Lytechinus pictus: one gene and its partner. The protein of the gene in region 2 interacts with the protein of the main gene of each other region in a pairwise test. Links are inferred from orthologs where the notes say so. Each region holds a gene or a part of one and is shown on either strand. Other genes may lie near its edges.

The links. The genes of interacting proteins can lie anywhere in the genome.
Region 1: the proteins of phosphorylated adapter RNA export protein-like (region 2) and cytoplasmic dynein 2 light intermediate chain 1-like interact in a two-hybrid assay, tested with the Drosophila melanogaster proteins (2 studies listed by BioGRID). The link is inferred for Lytechinus pictus from reciprocal best matches to the Drosophila melanogaster genes Phax and CG3769.

Annotation. Positions count from the first base shown.
Region 1 is NC_087251.1:11,932,650-11,943,610, forward strand, and holds the start of cytoplasmic dynein 2 light intermediate chain 1-like, read left to right. Parts: upstream 1-6,132; 5' UTR 6,133-6,289; coding exon 6,290-6,300; intron 6,301-8,543; coding exon 8,544-8,617; intron 8,618-8,935; coding exon 8,936-8,991; intron 8,992-9,423; coding exon 9,424-9,528; intron 9,529-10,961. Other genes in the region: clathrin heavy chain linker domain-containing protein 1-like, read right to left, coding at 597-784, 1,183-1,380.
Region 2 is NC_087249.1:4,989,524-5,000,210, forward strand, and holds the start of phosphorylated adapter RNA export protein-like, read right to left. Parts: upstream 5,016-10,687; 5' UTR 4,937-5,015; exon of another isoform or gene 4,642-4,936; intron 3,328-4,641; 5' UTR 3,298-3,327; coding exon 2,419-3,297; intron 1,011-2,418; coding exon 516-1,010; 3' UTR 511-515; exon of another isoform or gene 1-510.

The sequences.
Region 1 (10,961 bases), on a different chromosome or scaffold from region 2:
AAGAAAAAGCATTTTATGTGAATTTTTAAAAATATGAATAAATTAATTTTGCATAAATCAGCATAAAAATTGTTCTAGTCAAAATTTCGAAATTCTTTGTAGAAGTTTGGTGGACCTCATGAAGCTCTACCAGATGGAAAAAAAAAATCAAAATCGGTCAACAAATAAAGAAGAAGCATTTTATGTGAATTTTTAAAAATTTGCATAAATTAGCATGAAAATTAAACTGGTCAAAATTTCAAAATTCTGTGTAGAAGTTTGGTGAACCTCATGAAGCTCTACCAGATGGAAGCAAAAAATTCAAAATTGGTCAACAAAAAAAGAAGCATTTTTTGTGAATTTTGAAAAATGCGCATAAATTAGCATATTTAATGAATTTCAAAATTCTGTGTAGAAGTTTTGAATCCCCCACCTAGTGCTATCATGTAAAGCAAACAGAATTGAAATCGGACTTGAAATGGCGAAGAAGTAGCATTTTGAAATTGTGGACGGACAACAGACAACGGACGTTGGACGCCACGCCACAAGCTCATCTTGCCCTTCCGGCCGGATGAGCTAAAAACTTTAATTTTCTCATGAAAAAAAAATGAACTCACTTTTGTTCAAGCTCATCGGCTCGCTTCTGATAGAGACTGAGTGTTGTCTGCTCAGAGGCAAGTGCTTTGACCTTTCCAGAGAGGTAAAATGCTTCCTCTTGACCTTTCTCTATGGTGTCAATGCAATCTTCATACTCAGCTTTGATTGCACTCAGGAGGGACTTGTAGGCAGAAACATTGTCAATAATCTAGGGGAGGGAGAGATAAAAAGAATATAATTTATTGTGTCAAACAATTTTAAAAGGTTTTCTTTTCTTTTTATTTATTTATTAACCACTCGTGGGATGGAACATCCTATCAGCAAATGCTGCCAGGGGTCCATAAATCTGCCCCCACCTCTAAACATCTCCCCTAAAAAAAATCCAGGTTAAAAAACTCAACACATTCTAATACCTTTTTTCAGATTGTTTACAAGGTATCATCACTTTTTTCTTCCCAATCAATCATGGATAAACATCTTTATTGTGTTCATTTTCAGATATCTTCAATATCATCATTATTACAATGCATGCCAATTCTCTTCTCACTGGAGAACATTTTCTCAAGTTTCACTGGAGATTCTCCTCAACATGATGCTCATACAAACCTGATCAAAGGCTCCTTTGTAGATGGCATATCGATGAGGGTCAGGCCCTTCCTCTGCACATTCTACCCTGGCTACCTCCACGTTGATCTGATCTTCAAGTTCCTTCAAGAACTGCTTGTAGACATCAGGGCTGGGCGATATGGGCGGCAGGACCTGACGAGATCCTTGAATGGACTGTGGTTGCGGCATCTTGCTCATCTATATGCAAGTGACAAATTTAAAATCTACTTGATGAGTTAATGAGTTCATAAAAATCACAAATACCATGTTATTTTCTGGGTACACATTTCAAATAAGGTTTAAAGTTGAATTAGAATTTGCTCCAATAAAAAAAAAGGCTAATCATTTATTCATTTTTTTCAAAGTTTTCGACCAAATTATTATTTTTCTTTTATGAAGACATAAAACGATAGACAACTTGTGTTATATTTCACTTACTGCTACAGGGGAATAGGTACCTATGACAAAACCAAAAATCTCTGATAATTAAGTACCGGCCTATTGGGAAAGTTGTCTCTTGGCTCTAATTCAAATCTCGGCCAAAAGCCCCACACTCTGTTTCGTTTGACTGTTGTTCTGCCAGACTACGTCTTGTTCCTCCATCATTCTTACACTCTGTACAGGGAAACGATGTCCCCAAAATTAAAAATATAGGTCTACATGTATGAAGGATATTAGTTTTGAAAATAAGTGCAATTACGATTCAATAATCAAAACCCATTTTGGGCAAATTCGGTTGGTGCCAGGGGAATATATTATTAGACTCTGATGCCATTTATTGATATTGGGTCTAGATTTAATATGCCATAGAAAATGCCTAAGATCATGGGTTTTAGGGGACTAAAATTATTTGCACACTAAGTGGTTGCTAACCTCACCCAAGGCAACTCATCCCAGTACATCACACTATAAAATAAATAATCCTGCCCCATTCATGCGGGTGCTGCCACCCCCACCCCTCCTCTCTGGGTAGGGAGGTTGGGCCGGGGAGGGGCTATCAATAATTGGAGCGTTGTGGCCCAATGGATTAGTCTCCGGACTTTGAAACAGAGGGTCGTGGGTTCGAATCCCAGCCATGGCGTAATTTCCTTCGGCAAGAAATTTATCCACATTGTGCTGCACTCAACCCAGGTGAGGTGAATGGTTACCTGGCAGGAATTTATTCCTTGAAATGCGTGTGCGCTGTAATCTTAGTAATTACGGCTGCCAAGCTACAGCTGGGGTAATAATATCCAAGTCCTTTGGAAGCGCATAGAGACATTACTCATAATTGTGATATGCGCTATACAAGAACTGTTTATTATTATTATTATTATTATTATTAATTAATAGCCAGTGTGATTATAGATCAAAAGCTTAGGTCTCTGTTACATTGGTTGTTCTACTGAGCTCCGTTGGCTCCACTCACCAATTACAGTTCTATCCTGATCTGTACAGGGACTCAATGGCAGAAATAGATTAAAAAGTTGCTTTTAATTTTTATGCATGAGATACCTTCTCCTAACATTGTCCTCCATATTTGTACTATCTCCTCTTTTGAAAAAACCGCACTGCACACTCACCTCAGTCTCATCTTACATTGTCCTCTACATATATTTTATCATTATACATTCTTTAATTGTTAACACCTCACTGTACACTTAATTGCCTCAGCTCATCTTACATTGTCCTCCACATCATCATTATACATTCTTTGATAAAACCTCATTGTACACTTGCCTCATCTCATCTTACATTGTCCTCCATATATATTTGTATTATCTCCTCTTTTGAAAAAAACCCTCACTGTACACTTGCCTCAGCTCATCTTACTTTGTCCTCTACATATATTTTATCATTATACATTCTTTGTTAACACCTCACTGTACACTTAATTGCCTCAGCTCATCTTACATTGTCCTCCACATCATCATTATACATTCTTTGATAAAACCTCATTGTACACTTGCCTCATCTCATCTTACATTGTCCTCTATATATATATCTATTATCTCCTCTTTTGAAAAAACCTCACTGCACACTTGCCTCATCTCATCTTACATTGCCCTCTACATATATCTTATCATTCTTTGATAAAACCCCAGTGTACACTTGCCTCATCTCATCTTACATTGTACTCTACATCATCATTATAAATTCTTTGATAAAACCTCACTGTACACCTGCCTCATCTGAGTCATCTCATCTTACATTGTCCTCCATATATCTCCTCTTTTGAAAAACCTCACTGTACACTTGCCTCAGCTCATCTTGCATCATTGTCCTCTACATACATTCTTTGATAAAACCTCACTGTAGACTTGCCTCATCTCATCTTACATTGTCCTCCATATATATTTGTATTATTTCCTCTTTTGTAAAACCTCATTGTACAATTGCCTCATCTTACATTGTCCTCCACATATAGTTGTATTATCTCCTCTTTTGAAAAAAACCTCACTGCACACTTGCCTCATCTCATCTTAGATTGTCCTCTACATATATTTCATCATTATACATTCTTTGTTAAAACCTCACTGTACATCTGCCTCATCTCATCTTACATTGTCCTCCATATATATTTGTATTATCTCCTCTTTTGAAAAAACCTCACTGTACACTTGCCTCAGCTCATCTTACATTGTCCTCCATATATATTTGTATTATTTCCTCTTTTGTAAAACCTCATTGTACAATTGCCTCATCTTACATTGTCCTCCACATATAGTTGTATTATCTCCTCTTTTGAAAAAAAACCTCACTGCACACTTGCCTCATCTCATCTTAGATTGTCCTCTACATATATTTCATCATTATACATTCTTTGTTGAAACCTCACTGTACACCTGCCTCATCTCATCTTACATAGTCCTCCACATATATTTGTATTATCTCCTCTTTTGAAAAAAACCTCACTGCACACTTGCCTCATCTCATCTTAGATTGTCCTCTACATATATTTCATCATTATACATTCTTTGTTAAAACCTCACTGTACACCTGCCTCATCTCATCTTACATTGTCCTCCATATATATTTGTATTATCTCCTCTTTTGAAAAAACCTCACTGTACACTTGCCTCAGCTCATCTTGCATCGTTGTCCTCTACATACATTCTTTGATAAAACCTCACTGTAGACTTGCCTCATCTCATCTTACATTGTCCTCCATAATATATTGGTATTATTTCCTCTACTATTAATACTTTTGAAAAAAAAACATCACTGCTTGCCTCACCTCATCTTGCACTGTCCTCCATATATATTTATATTATTTCCTCTTCTGTAAAACTTCATTGTACACTTTTATTTTCTGCACTATACTACTCATTCTCTGTTAAATAAACTCCTACGTTGTTTTATACACAAGCACCATTTGAAAACTCTCTTTGGTTATTTACACTCTGTATTGTACACACACACACCCATGCGCCGGCGACTTGAATCTAGACTGTTTGATGGGAAAAATTCGCATTTCGATTGTTGTTTGCGTAATTTCCACCGCAGTATTATTAGGATCGGACGGAGTATCTTGGCTGAGATTTGGAGGTAAGCGTTTAAAATCCCTTTTTATAAATACTTTTTAGCATATTTTTAAAATTGCATTCAATAAGATTAAGATGAATAAATTTAGTATATTGTGAAGATTTTGGCGTGTGTCATTCTCTCACATTCGTGTGATGAATGAAAACGTCAAAATTCATTATGAAATGACATGCGTTGTGCGAGGTTAGTACAACTAACCTCGCATGTTGTGTGACTGATCCGGAACAGGCGCTCTAAGTCTAACCGACTGAGCTACGCATTAGGCGTAGGAAGGTGTAAAAATCAATAAAATTCATAAACTTTACATGATTTTTGTCTTAAAAGATGGATTTCCTAGGGAAATCCATCTTTGTTTTGGTCAGTCTCTTATGCATCTATGGAAGAGTGTCAAGACGTCAATGATGAAGAAGAGTATATGTCAGGGGCCGATTGCACGAAAGGGTCTTTGCAAGGACCGTCTTTCGTGTCGCCCATTTTTTATGATGCGCCATGTGAAACGCATTTCAAATAAATTATCTGCAAACATATTTTATTCGTCCGTTAAAATAAACAAACTATTTGTTAATAAAATGATTGATGTGATGTCTCGCAAAGTTGTATAAATTTGATTTAAAAGCAAGCTTACGAATTGTATTTGTTTATCATAAATTTCAGAAACACCCCGCTTATAGCGTATCATAAAAGATGGGCGACACGAAAGACGGTCCTTGGAAAGACCCTTTCGTGCAATCGGCCCCAGGATTTTTAAAAGTCATCATCAAGACATCATTGCCATTGGCATTGCGTCCTCAAGACTAGGTAAATATGCTGTTCTTATTATTAAATGACGTTACTATTATCATCAATGCCGTTGTTATTATTATTATCATCAAAATTTACGCCCACAACAAGGTATGTTATTATTAATTATTATTATGTTCGGCCTATTTCTTATTACTAAAATAGGACTTAGGGCCTACACAAATCTGAACTTATGGGACTGTGGTCTAGGACTAGATCTGTGCACTTATTATTTACAACATTGTAAAGTAATACAAATAGGTTACAAAATAATAAAATAGATTTCCTACGAAAAAAAGAGGATGGGAACTCACCCAAATAATTTCCTCCGTCCAGTGACACTTCTGGATCAAACTTAAAAGAACAGAAAGAAAAGAATACCGAGGATCTAGCGATCTAACGTTAGAGAGGATAGGACCGCGGTGAAGCTCGACAGTTTGCCTGAAGTAATCGATTGAAATAAGATTCCAAATCAATCTGACAATATAAAAAAATAATTTGATGACACAATTTATTAATGATTTAAAAAAGGTTATTTGATAAACTATTTATATTTTATAATAATTAATTATTATATAAAAATGTATTTAAAATAGATATAAATGATAAATGTTACCTATAATCATTAAGAATGAACTCTCAGTAATAGACTAGTGCGCATGTTCACCCAAGAAATTCCTCTTGACGACTGTAAACAATTGAAATCTCGGTTCGGAAAAATGATGTTTTTATGTTGACCCCCGACTTCTTTATTTCTTATATCTTGTTTATTCCAGAATTCACTTGAGAAAAACAATCAGAGATGCCTAAATCGTGAGTATAAAATTTGCAATTATTTTACCTTTTTCCCCGATTGAATCACATCGTTATATACGTAAAAATTGATCCTCGACGTCGACTGAGCAGCGGCAAGGAGCAAGGCTTCCCCGAACTTCAGGGATCGTAACTTTGGAAGCTCCGCTGCGTTATGGCCCGATTGGTCGATTACGCACGATCACGAGTCACGACGGAGCTTCCAGGCCAGCCCAGCCCCAGGGGCAAGGCCAGGCCCCAGCCCCCGCAACCAGCCCAGCCCTAACGTTAGGCCGACTCACACGTATTTGCTAGCCAGGCGGCTTCTTGAGAGTAAAAATCATTTACTAACGTAGGCTTACTCTAAACGAAGCCAGGGTCAGGAGTCCTTTCTATTCATCTGCGTGTAGGCCTACCGCAAAAAACCCTGAAACTTTCGCCCCCGAGATTTCTACTTTCCTTCTAAAAAAGATCTAGCTCTAATTAATCATGTACATGGCCATGGGATAAAACTTCATTTCCGACATTTCTACGCTCTCGTTATTTTTAAACAAGAATTCATCAAAAAAAATGAAACAATATTGTGAAAAGACGGAAGACTCAGAGACTTGCCCGATGTTTACGCCGCCATCTTGTTTCTTATTGTACTTCCCCAACTCAATTAGATCTATAGATCCAACCTGGGTTAGACTATCTTTCAGATTGAACAAAAAAATGGTGCCCCATGCCATGTCTGTGCTTCCATTAACTTTACACACAATAAAGGGATTTATGCTGAAATTTAAAGGGAAATATTTGTATCTAGATTGAATAAATAGATGTATAGTAAATTCTAGCAAAATGCTTAAAATTTCATCAAAATCTGATAACAAATAGCGAAGACGAAGTAATTGAATTTTAAAGTTTAACAATATATTGTGAAAACAGTTATAATAATGCACGCCTTCATGAATATTCATTAGATGGGCTGATGATGTTACATTCCCACTTTCCTTTTTCTCATGTTATATGAAATCATAATTATTTCATTTTTTATACATGTGTGAATGATTTGTCTCTCTTGTAATGAAATACATTACTGCAACAATATATAATGCACTTAATCAGTTGTCATTACAATATTTCCTTGGAGGAACAAAAATTGAATAATCCAATTTCATTTCATATAATACAAAGAACAAGTGTGGATATGACATCATCAGTTTGCTCATTAAATATTCATGAAGACATGTGTAGAACTGTTTCACTGTAATAATGTTGATCTTTTCTTTAAAATGGCATAACTTTGGTATTCCTTGTCAGATTTTGATCAAACTTTGTCTCATTTTTCTTAATCTGTTCAAATCATATTACTTTCAGTCTGGAGTACCCCTTTAATGAATTCCAAACATAAAATACATGTTGACATTGTATTGCTAAGAAGTAGATCTATGTGTCTAGTTGTTTAGCAAAGAAGCCCTGATTGTTAAAGAAGGTATTACTCTTGCAATAATTGTATCATTATTTAATAGGTTAATGCCACTTCCTATAGGATACACATCTATATTATTACAGCACAAATAAAAAAAAATGTAAAGGCACAGCAAATCTCGGCCAGAGGTACAGTATGTAAGTGAAAACAAATTTCCAAGGCCAATGAGAGGGGCATTGATGGCTATGAGGACAATCTAATCTACAACCATGGTCTTCTATGGCCTTGGATTATTTTAATTCAAGCCCTGCTGAGCCTACCATATATATATACATGTCAAATATTTACTTTAAAAAAACATGATATGTCACAAAGTATATCTTTTCTCTTTTTGCCCTTTTTAGTGAATAAAACTATGTTGTTTAATACTTAATCATTCTTTTGGAAAGTACATGTATCAAAAGCATCAAACATGTGGATGCGAAAGTCTGTAACAAGTTCCTATTACAGACTACACTGTCTAAACAGAAACAGTGTATCATTATTGCTTGGAAAAAGACCCCCTATTTAGCCTTTAATCCTGTGCTTATTTTGCTAATTCCTCAGCAAATATACAATCTCTTCCAGAATCTTTTGGCACATACATGTATTTCAAACAGACACATGGATAGTCATGTTATTAGATTCTATACGAATTCATTTTAAAATCGTGACCACCACCGGCATTATTTTCAAAATTTAGCTAAGAACCTATTCTTTTGAAAAATTTCCCATGGAAATCCCCATTTAAAATCAATCACATCTGGCTAATGTCTAAATTATCTGAATTATTGCATTTCTTGTATAATTTCAGTGTGGAGAAATCAATTTGGGACATTGCCATTCTTGAAGCTGAAAAGAAGAATGCTTCTGAATCCAAAGATGAGGGTAAGGTTGCCAGTTGCTTACAGACAGTTTGTTTTAGGCCAAGAATTCCATTTTGAAATTATCATATACTTCGTTATTTAATTAAATTTACAGAGTAAACAGTTAAAGAGGAAGGAGAAACTTGAAATGAGGAATCAGAAAAAGAGGAGGATGATAGTGATAGTGACAATGGTGACTAGGTGATAGTGATGTTGGTAATGATGATGATGCTGCTAAGTCTGATGATGATCCACTTTTGCCTTATAGAGTTGCTCTGTTACCCTATACTATGTGATTTCAGATTCAATTCTTCTTGCTTTATACAATTTTATATTCCAGGTGGCGAAACAAAGGGCTCAGAGAATCACATTTTGTTTATTGGCAGTAAAAATGCAGTAAGTTATCAAATAGGCCTATATGTTGCCACCAATGTCAGTGACATGTGCATATTTGTTTTGGAAACATAAATTTGACTTATTTGACATAATTTTGTTGATTTGGGCCAATATACATGTATAAAATTACTTGAAAATGTGTAAAACAGTTAATTAAACAATTATCACAAAATTCTACAAAATATTTCGTAAACAATGATTGTCATTAATTTCACCAATTTATTGTAATTTTATTGTAATCAAGATAGTTCATCAATAAGATCAATAATACAGAAAATGAATGATAAATGGCATATGCTATAATATGAAACTAATCTTGATTGTATCTTAGCACTGTACAATTTTATTTATTAAAGAGATACATCTGATGATGATTACATTTATTCATGTCAACTCAAAGCTACATCTTTTCTTTCTGTGCATTTTACCAAGGGAAAGACATCAATAATTCTCCGGTTTTTGGAGAAGGAGGAGGCACCAAAACCCACAATCGCACTGGAATACACATTTGGTAGAAGAGCTAAAGGTCACAATATGGTATGTTGTGCTGGTGTATTAGTTAATATTACAATTAAATGGTTGATAGTTCAATTTTTCTAGTTTCATTTTGTATGTTTTAACACAAATTGTACTCCTCTGATTTTGATGGTTTATAAATGAATTAAATATAATTCAGTGATATTTAACTCATCCATATTCTATTCATACATTTAACATAAGTCCAATTCTACTGATCTATTAACTGTTCAATATGATTTTTATTTAATTGTTCATATCATTAGATCTGATTACACATATCAATTTTACTTCACATATTTAATTCTCACCAATTATCAAGCTGTTTTACAACACACATTATTCTTTGTTTAATTATTGTTAAATTGAAAACACTCTACTTTTCACAAATTATCCTTTTGATGTCATACAATTTTAGATTCTAAAGAATTCTTGAATATATCTTGTTTAGTCACTTCTTGAGTATATTTTAAAAGTTTAAGAAAAAAGCACTTTTAGTAATTTCTCAGCTCATTCTATCAAATGCAGTGTTATATCGCATTTTACACATTAAAAAAATATTTTAACAACTGATATTTTAATTCACATCAAATGATATTATTTGAAATTATATTCCCTTTTTTAAATGTATGTTAATATTAAAATCAATTGACATTATATTTTGATTCTGCTGTGATTGTATAGGTTTTTATTTGTAATGATTTTGAAAACTTTCCACATTTGTTTAATTTTTGCAATATTTTTGCTTGGCTTTTTGTGATTCATCCCACAGTCCATACAAAACAGGGTAACAGATTTAGATATTTTATAATGGCTCATATCAGAAAATCTAGCAGGTGTTTTTACCAAGATTTTTGAAAAAAAAACTTTTTACTTTTAATAAACTCAACAAATACTCCCCAAATAATGTACTTTATATTCACACAAAATCTTTAGCCTCCTTTATCATAACATTTTGTCATTTCTTAAGAGTGAATGCTTAAATCAGATTTTTTTTTCCCCAGGATCTTCCTTTAGAATTTGGGTTTTCCTTATAAATTTACAATTTTTAGGAAAAGTAATTTACATGCTTGGAAAACTGCTTCGTTTGAAATTCACCAATGCAAATCCAGGGCTGAAGGAGTTCACCCAAGTCAAGAATAAGTTTTGAATTTTTTGCTCAACTTAAAAGAATGACTTTGTTTTTTTTTTAAATAGAAACTTTCATCTATCATTTTTTTTTCTGATTTTACACAAAACGAAAATGCCTGTAAATAAGTTTTCAAGTCATTTTATTATGTTTGCTAGAACTTTTTTTTTCTATTATGCCCAAATGTTTTTATACTACCCTGCATCTGCTAGTTTTCTTTGACATGGGCCATTGCATGATTTATTAGTTTAGTGATAGTGATAATACTTAGAGATATTGCATGCTTGTTAGACATACATGTATGTAGATGTATGTAGAATAATAT
Region 2 (10,687 bases):
TGATGTTGATGATGTCGCGGCCACCTCACTTATGCTATCCAGGCAAGGCAAAACAAGATCATCATTTGATTCCATTTTACATGTGTTTCTTATAATTCATCAATTTTCTCTGTTAAAATCTTGAAAATCATAATTCTTTTTGCATAAAAATAACCAACTTATGGACCCATGTCACAAACGTGATACAACAAATGTAATTACACCTGTTAGAAAATGGCATAAAGGAAAGTATGCAATGCATAGACACACTGGGGAGAGTTTCATGAAGTATCTTGTCCATGATTTTCACTGTTCCATTTCATTTCATCCAATCAGGTGGAAAGATTTCAGTAACTTATAACAATATTGATTTAATGAATTGCTCTCCATGAATCAATCATAATGTAATAACAAGTACTTCTCTTTTTGAATCAAAATAATCAATTTCAGGACCCATGTCACAAATTGATATAGCAAATGTAAACCTGTTGGAAATAGGCATACCAGAAAGCATGCACAACATCAGCTTACTTGAATCAATCATCATCTAAAACTTCTCCATCTTCTGGATCAGAGTCATCATTCCTCTGTGGGATGTCATCTAGCTTTGGGAACATCATATTATCATTGTCCTCTTTGATATCACTGCACTCCTTCTGAGGCAAGGGTACTCCACAATCCAGAGGATCAAGGTTTGATGGTTCATCCGGCATTGGCTCCATTTCATTCACACATGGTTCATCATCTAACTTCGGAACTCTATCATCTCTCATGTCCATTTCACCAACAGCCTCTCCATCTCCCTCAAATCCTGCTTCCTCCATCTCTTCCTCCCTGTTTCCAGGGTGATCATCCCCATCCTTGTGGAAGGCTGCAGACTTTCTGGTGTGCCTTCTCCTCTTTTTCCGCTCTGCTTCAAAGATCTTCTTCTCTTCTGCGAAGATGTCCTTGATGGTTTCTTTGGAGATGTCTGGATCTGTCTTCATCAGCTGGATAAATACCCCACCCGGTGATCGCCGCCTTGATTGGTTCTAAGAGAGGAAATAGTTAGATTTACATTGAATTATCATAATTGATGAGTGTGGTGTTTGACAGAACAAAAACAGTCACTGGTCTTTTGTGGTTTGTTAGATTACAAGTGACCCAATATTTAAAAAACAAAACCATTTCAGACTATTACAGGCAGGGCTCTATATCTCAAAGCCAAAACCATGTTTGCCTTTAAATACGTAATCTAATATAAAAGGGGATCAGTCTAAAGGAAAAGCTGTTTTAGAGGAAGAAGATATGGAGCACCAAAGTGTGACATCAGTTGCCATGGTGTCATGGGTGCTGGTTCTAAACAGAGTCGCAGCTGACGATCGTCTGTACACATTTGTATGACTTTGGCTCATCTGAAAAATGGGTTGCAAGCAATCAAATTCCGATAGCAGTCATTTTCTCCTATGAGAAACACACGCTTTCTTTGGGGGGGTTCATTTGTTTAGATCCAGGCCTCCATGACACCATGGCAACTGACCTCATCGCTTCGGTACTCTACATGTATATCAAGCGAGAAGAACAGTTTAAGTATACCAGACAAACAATGAGAATATGAATTCTCAAAAAGTTGTATTCACTATAAATTACATGTAATACCTAGGGAGACTTTCAAATCAGTACCATTGGTGATGTCATTATGAATGTAATGTAGGCTAAAGAAAACTCTTCCACTTTCAGTTCCTTAAATACCCCCAAAAGGCTCAAATGACCTTCTTTTCAGGTACACTTATGCAAGAAAACCAACATCCTACTCATTACTGAATGGAAAGAGCATCAATGCGTGGCAGATCAAATTTAATTAGATGGATTCTCAAATGCATGCATTCAAAATTTTGCCTCTCATATATCATGAACAAGAGTGTTGCTAAGGCAAGCACATAATACGCCTGTCTGTAACACGGAAAATTGAGTTATTGGTCAAGCAAGAAAAGTAAAAGGTGGCAACTTCACCTTTGACCTTCTGGCCTAAAAATGAATAGAATTGCAAGGATCTATGCTAGTATCATACACACCAAATTATATGAGCCTAGGTAACGTTAAACTGCAGTTATCGCGTTTACAAGGACTGCAAAGTGGTAAGATGAAAATATGTCACTGTGACCTTGACCTTTGACTGTTTGACCTCAAAATCAATAGGCTTCCTGGGATCCATGCTAGTATTATACACACCAAATCATATGAGCCTAGGTTAAGTTAAACTGAAGTTATCGTGTTTACAAGGAAAAGTTAACGGACGGAACGGACATACAGACGGACGGACGGACACCAAGTGTGATACCATAATACGTCCCGTCGAGACGGGGCGTATAATTAAAAAAAAATGTTGAGGGTGCCACTACACCCCTAAACCCAATTGATGAAACATAAAAAAATATTTTTATTCATAGCATTTCTTACCGCTATCATCATTCCACCATCATTTTCAATCTCCTCTGTTTGCTTCCATATCTGAAGTGCCTTCTCGACTCCAAGAATCTTGACTATTCTCAGAATAAGTTCTCTCTTTGGCTCTTGGAGGCTGAAAGCAAGCTGACCTGCGATAACCTTTTTCTCAGCACTGGGGTCAATCTCCACCTTCTTCATCAGGACGACCTGTTCAGTACTGTCTGAATGATTTCCAAGCCTGCTCTTTACGTTGGAGCGCCGGAACCTGTCAGCAACCATGGAGCCACGCTTCTTTAATTTTTCCCGAAGGTCATCATGTGGTCTTTCTAGTTCTTCTTCCTCCTGCTCACTATGTCTTGGTGGATCATTTGCAAGCCAAGCGTCATCCTCATCCTCCCCTACTGCCTTCACCAGCTTTCTACCCTTGATGACATCATCTCCAGGAGGAATGTTTGTGGCTACACCAAGAGGGAGCTGTTCTGTATCTTTGTAGCTGTAGCTCTCAACATCCCGTTCCATGACCTGATCAACACCAAAATGTGTGATTTCCCTCTCGACAACCTCCTGGTTCTGCTCTACGGCTACAGAACCCCAGATGTTGTTCTTCCGCCTCTTCCCTACTGTAACCACTCCTCTGTCTCCATCTTTCATCCTTGAAGACCTGTTGTCTGGTCTCTCAGAACTCTTTCCCTGCTTCTGCTGATCCCTGTAGAATGAAGACTCAGACAAGGACAAGGCAGGTGCTGTCTTTCGACGCTTCCAGGACTGTTCATCATCACTGTCACTCTGATCACTTGAATCATCTTCATCACTCAGTTCAAACTTTCTAATGCTCCCTCTTGGTAAATCTTTCTTTTTAGGTGTTGTTTGACGCTGTGTGAAGGCTGCCATGTTGAATTCCAATACTACAAAAAGATAGATCTGCAAAGAGAAGTGATGAATCAGTAATAAGATAAGGTGATGTTAGCCAGCATCTACCTGCACTTATAGAATGATTTGACTTTTCAATAGTAAATTAACAACAAATACTAAATAAATTAACCAAAAATTATTAAAGAAAAAGAATTGAAATAGCACTTTGGTAGTTGAACCTATATCAATCCATGTTTGTTTTTTCATGAATAAAGCTGGATATATCTCACGACGACATATCTGCGCTGATCCACCCAGAAAGAATTGGTGGGATCCATTGGCGGCGGAAGCCAAAAATTTTAGGGGGGGACCACAAAAAAAATTTGACAAGCCAAAAAAAAAAAAAAAAGGTTACCAACAAAAAATTTAGGGCGGGTCCGTCCCCCCCCACCTAAAATTTAGGGGGGGGACACGTCCCCCCCCCCCCCCCGTTTCCGCCGCCTATGGTGGGCTCCGGGCTAGAGAGTAAAAATCATTCACTAATGTGCGCTTACTCTCCACGTAGCCAGGGATTGTGTCCCATTCATGTGCATGAACAGCGAAAAAAAAAATTTCGCCCCCCCCCCCCCCCCCCCGAGATTTCAACTTTCCTTTTAAAAGATTTAGCCCTAAATCCTGTAAATGGGATACAACTTAATTTCCGACATTACTACAATATTGATTTCATTTTAAAACAAGAATTCATTAAAAAACAAGAAAAATATTATGAAAAGAGGCAGCGTAGCTCAGTAAGTTAGAGCGCATATTTTGGAGATTGTAGATCTCAACGTGAGGGGTTCGAGTCCCGATCATGCCGAAACGCGTCTAACAAAACAAAAGTCTGATGCTATAGCGTTGTGTGTTAACTTGCCTCACCACTGTATTCAGTGCAGGTGTGAATGCAGTTGGAAAACACTCCGTCCATCGGAAAGGACGCAAATGTTGGTCCCGTGTATAGCCTAGGCTATAGGAGAGTCACAATTCCTATGCACGTTAAAACCAATACACTATTCGTCAAAGAGTAGGGTGTTCACCCGGTGTATTGCACCTGCCGGTCTCGGCAATATTCAGGTCAAGTACCCAATGCGTTTATGCCCGGGAGGGCCCTTTATCGTATACATCCACATCCAGAAAAGACGGGGAAAACTTGCAGCGATTCTTTACATAGCCAATTAGCCATCTTCATGATCTTGTTCTCTTCATGCTACTGCTAGCCTTTACTTTTTCGCCAAGCTACCACTTCAGTAGACAGTACAACTACAAGTACAACTCAGTACAAGACGCATATCCTCGATATGCATCTTGTAGCTGAATTCATATTTTTTACAAAACTCAAAATACTACCGTTTGATCAAGTACACAGTCACAGATCTAAGTGTCACTGAGTTAAATTGACTGTTCGTCTGTCATTGTCTGTTGTTTTTGTGGTGTTGTTTACACGAGAGTCGATCGAGAGCTCACACGAAAGTCGGTATCTGGGCACGTGTAGACAAGAAACGTATGAAATATATTCCTAAATATATGTCACCATTCATGCCTCAAACACAAACTTCAAACTTCAGTCAGTTAAAAAAGTATTTACACATTAATAAATCAAATTAGAAGAGTAGGCTGAGGCCTAATTGACAAAATAACGTACACTTTTACTACTGGTTCCGGCTAGAATTTGGAGACATCATCAAACAATTATAGTGTCGCCGAAACGTCCAAACGCAAATATAACTATAAGAAAGAAATTTTTTAAAATTCACATGTATACAAATTTGTATCTTGCTTTGGTAATTTCTGCATATGACTGTAAATACTATACAAACTATTTGATATGGAATCTAAAAAAGGTAAATCAATTACTATCTGTACTTATTTTTTAAACAAAATTATTCCCCGGTGCATTATACCCAACGGCCCTGCATTGCACGTTTCACATCCAAAAGTGTAAAAGTCCTTTTTTCGAGCAGAATAATTCGTAAATAATACAAATTCGCACGGTTTGGCTGCATACAATATAAAAAGAGAACATATTCAGCTTTTAAGCGATAGGCCTATATAGAATTGGCTTGTGGGTTCTTAAATGCCGCTGATGTTTAGCATCAACCATCGTATAGTTTAAACCCATAGAGATATATATACTAATATGCGTTATTAGTATATATCTCTATATGTTTAAACCACATATGCAGAGTGAAACAAAAATCTGCACTTCATATGCTAAGCTAATATTATATCAATTATTTAGCTTGTGATAACTTATACCAGAGTCTTTATTGCGATTTCCCGCACGGTCATGTCATAGTTGAAATACTGTTGTATTGGTCATTATTTAGAATTTTTTTTTTGAAGACCTTTTTTGTTTTTTGCTTGTCTATTTTTTTTATACGAGACGACGTATTTTTTGTGTTGTTGTAAACATTTCATTCAGCTTGAACCCCCCCCCCCCTTAGAAATTCCTGCTTACGCTACTGCAATGAATACTAGTAATATCTCCATTTGCATAATGTACGTTCTTGTTGAATCGTGTTTGATGGCTTACATTAAGTTTTGTTAACATTTTACTTCTGAATTAAGTTACTGCCTCCTTTTTCCAAATCATACTACAGGACAAAATCACCCGAGATGTTCTCCGCAATTTACGAAATTATGTCGCAATGTCGGTCCAAAAAAAAATTGACTCTCCATAAATCTTTGGACACTTTGTGAAATTTCATAAATGATATTGTCTTGATAATTTCGGGACTATAGCTCCAAGTCTACTCCTTTCAGACCCGGATTTTTCACAAACGATTGTCATGCCCGAGGCACAATGGCATGGTGGCTCAGTGGTAGAGTGCCCGCCTCGATCATGAACGGGAGGTCGTAGGTTCAATCCCCGGCCGAGTCATACCAAACCAAAGGCAACGGAGACCGAATCTACAATAGTAAATCTATTGAAAATGTCTGTCAAATTACAAAAATTTGCAAATAATTATGTCGTTTGTTCATAGTCCAGGGCGCAGGGCCGTAGCCAGAAGCATTTTGTTGGGGGGGGGGGGTGTACCAGCTGAATTTGCCAACTAAATTTGGCGTGATCGCACCAACGTGAGCACAGGGGGAGTCTGATGGGGGATTTGACCCCCCCCCCCAATAATCACATGCTAAAAGATTTTGAATTTTTAGAATTGAATAAATGGCATTTGGTGAATACTTTAAGGTAAATTATACAAAGATATACAAAGATATTTGCACTGTAAAAATAAACATTTTGGATCAAAATAGAAAGGCTAGTGTGCCGTAGTTGCTAACTTGCAGTATAATGATATACCCTATGCATTAATAACATCAAAATCAAAGATTTGTTAATTTTTAATTGACCTTCTGTGCAAGATGTCTCAACTAAAATTTCGAGAGTGCTAGTGCTAACAGAGGCGTACCGTGGGTCACAGTAATGGTGGGGGGCACCAGCAAAAAATTTGAGTCATTGTGGGCGCGCGAAGCGCGCTCAATTGCCAGGTATACTGACCTAATAGAGACATTTTAAGGACTGTGCCATTAAACGGATATGTATCTTAGTGATCAAATAATGCGAGAGCGAAGCGCGATCTGAAAATGTTTGATATTCAGTCCTAAAAAGTGACATCATAAGCAAAGTTTTGTAATCATGATACACACCTGTCTCACAAAACAAACAATGCGAGCGCGAAGCGCGAGCTGATTTTTTTTGTATAACTTGACCCTAAAAAGGGACATTTTAAGGACTATCTTTTGGAATTCATGAAGTGCGTACGTATCTCATCATAGTCATCTAATGCGAGCGCCAAGCGCTTGCTTATTTTGTTAGAATTACACCTAAGCACATGAAGCACTTTTTGTGGTCATTGTAATCATAAACATGATACGTATTTCACTAATGAAATATTGCAGCCCAGAAGCGCGAGTTGACAATTTTTGAAATTCAGACCTGAAGAGGGGCATTCTATGGCTTGTTTGTAGGAATTTACTATTTCATTAATCAAGTGATGCAAGCACAAAGCGCGAGCTGAAAATTTGTTATAATTAGATCAGAAAATTTTAAGGACTGTCTTTAGGAATTCGTGCACTGTAAAGACGCCGGTGTTGATTTAACACCAGCCCGGTATCTTTATCGGTCCACATCAATGCGAACGTAAGCACAGACTGGAAATGTTTTATATTTTAAGGCCTTAAAAGGGGGCAGTCACTACATTGGTTGATCTATAAAAGTTCTTCATAAACTTCATATGGCTGAAGGTGCGTTCATCCTTTGCAACACTTATTGGTGCTGTCATGAGAAGCTTGCGAGCATTCCAAGTGAGAGGAAGAATAGACTTCTTGAATTGTCAAATCTTCGGTGACAGAATTTAGTAAAAATAACTTAGAACATTTTTGGGTTTTTTTGCCAACTGCAAACTTGTAGACAAGTCTACAAGTTGTAGACTTGTCTTCAGGAATTTGCCAACTGCAGAGTTACCAGTTAAGTCTTGTGTTCTGTTCTTTTTAGATCTGAAACGGCGCAGTACTTGTACATCACTTTGCTGACTGGTAGAGCGTTTAGTGTTCTGCCACTTTAATAGGCCCACTTTATAATTTGCCAACTATACTTTGGCTTTGATTATTCAACTTAAACCTTGGAAATTCATCCCACCCCATATTTCTTTACCTAGTCTTGCCTCTAATTTTACAAAACTAATATGTTTGTTAAATCGTCAATAATTGTGGTATAATTTGCAAACTCACAAGCTTGTTTATATTTGGGGAGGGCCAGGGGCTTACTTTATGTGTTATTATAGGTTTATAGCTCCATCTGTTTTGTCCTTTGTATTTTGCTGACTAGTAGGGCTCTAAGTCTGGCTACATGGACTTGGATTTGCCAATTAACTGGTTGTCCTTACTCTATACGTCGTAACCTTCTTCGAAGTTAGTACCCCTATTTTTCTTTCCTTTTTTTCTTTCTTTCTCTCTTTCTTTCTTTCTTTCTTTCTTTCCTTCCTTCCTTCCTTCCTTCCTTCCTTCCTTCCTTCTTTCTTTTCTTTCTTTCCCTCTTTCTTTTTCTCCCCTATCCTCCTGCTTACAAGCATTCATGCTTTCTTAGCAATCAGGTAAAAAAAAAAAAAAAAAATCACCACCAATTTTGCCAACTGGTACATGATTTTGCCGACTGCCATGAATATTGGGGGGGGGTGTCACACCCCCCCATACCCCCCCTCTAGCTACGGCCCTGCCAGGGCGACACTGCCGTTTCGAACCACCGATTTTCGACAAAAACTGCTTTGTCATGAAGGGCTTTTGACAATAGATTCTCAATGTTCCAGAAAGCGTCTACTCCATCACGTCTTAAGATCCCTACAAATATGCCTACAGGGGCATATTAGGGGTCGGTTGCAAGGGCGGGCGGGAGGGGGGGGGGGTCAAGAGCCGAAATTTCCCGGTCATAAAAGCTAGGTATGAACAAGCAGTGACGTAATGAAGCAAACAAATTTAGGGGGCCAGGGCCCCATCTTACATAGAGTTACGATTGATCCAATCAATCGTAACTCTATATGGAAATCCAACAGTGTCATAATTTTTTTCTACAGGAAATTTGCAATATGTCCTTTGTACACAAAGGAGAACACACCAAATTGTCAAGAATTATTAATCAATGAATTTATGGATATACATTCATATTTAGAATTTTTTATGAACGTGTATTTTATATGTTGACTTTGCTGGCTTTCCATGGTTGCGATTGATCGGATCAATCCATAGAGTTGGATAAAGCGTATCCAACTCTATGGATCAATCACAACTCTTTGTAAGACGGGCCCCAGATATGGCGAAGCGGGGAAAAATATTTTTCAAAAAAGCTATACTAGAAGCGAGCGAAGCGAGCGAGCAAAAAATTTCGACATTTTCATTACAAAACTCAAATTTTGTGATAGATTTTAGCATAATATTTAGAAAGTATATATCACCCTTCGCTAATTCCTTTCCTTTTTTCTTTTTTTTTTCTTGGTCTGTACGCCGCTGTGAACAGGTATTTTTAAAATAGCGAAGGGTGAAATATCATTAAATTAATGATATTTCACCCTTCGCTATTTCCTTTTCTTTAGTCTTTTATTTCCTTGGTCTCTAGCTACGCCAGGATTTTTTTTATGATTGTGCACGAGCATTATGGCGAAGCCAAAGGGCGAAGCTCTATGCGGCAGTATAGGGTAAGGAGTAAAAAAAAAAGGGGGGCACAGTATGTCGCGTGTGGCAAAAGCCTGAGTGAAAAAAATCACCTTTCATAATAATTTGAAATAGATTTTGGCCAGATATTCAGAAAATTACATCATATCTTACACTTTTCGCTTCTTTCTTTTTTGTTCTTGGAAGGGCTATGGCCCGAACCATCAATATTCTGTCCGCCAATGCTACGCGGGTGGGGTCCCTGGAACCTTTTGATATCAACGCCATTTTAAACCTTACAGATTACCGCGGGTATATCTTTACACAACAAATTCAACGCAGTTGCGTAGTATGCCATATATTTTGAAGGGGCACAACATAGCAAATGTGGGAAAATTTGTTAAAAGTCGCCAGCAAGCGAAGCGAAACAGAAAAAGTTGGCCTGTGAACTGAAATTATGATTATGCAACAGATTTTTACATTATATTCAGCAAAATTGTTTTTCATTCATTTTTCATTCCGATGCCTCCTTTATTTTCTTTTATTTCTCCTTGACTGTGGAACCTTTGTATCTGACTTTTTGAGGGGTCCACATTCTACAAGCTTTGCTTTTCAGTGGACCCCTCCATTCTTCTCATGATATATAATTATATTGATTTAATTATATTCAATTGTATTGATTATATTGATTTAAACTTGACATGCATGTTGATTTATATTTGAATTACTTATTGAATATGTATATCATTTCTATTCAATGTTGAATTTTGTTCATGCTTTTATTTAGATTGAATCAATTTATCTTGTACTTATTTGTATTATGTTGAAGAATGAAAAATTAATTGAATTTAATTGAATTGAACCAAGTCCCCTCCCCCCGTACGCCAATGCTTCCACGTGAAGCTAAAATTAATGCAGGAAGGGTCCACAGAGGGGCCCGTCTGCTGCATGGGGTCTGCATGGGGCAGAGCCTCGGTAGCTTTGGAGATGCAACCGTTTACGGTAACACTTGCCAGCGTAAAGCTTCACTTAGTTAGGGAAATATATTTCAGAGGGTTTGTCTATTAGCCTTATAGGCGGACTTTTTGTCCCGATTGACCGCTATTGCATAGAATTTAGCAATCTTAATATAATAGACTTCATACACAATGTTATATGCCATCCATCTTTTTTTCCGATCGTTATTTTCAATCCTCGGCAACCCGGTCGTGTTATTAAGTTCTTCTTTCTTTTTGTCTTTTCTCTTTTC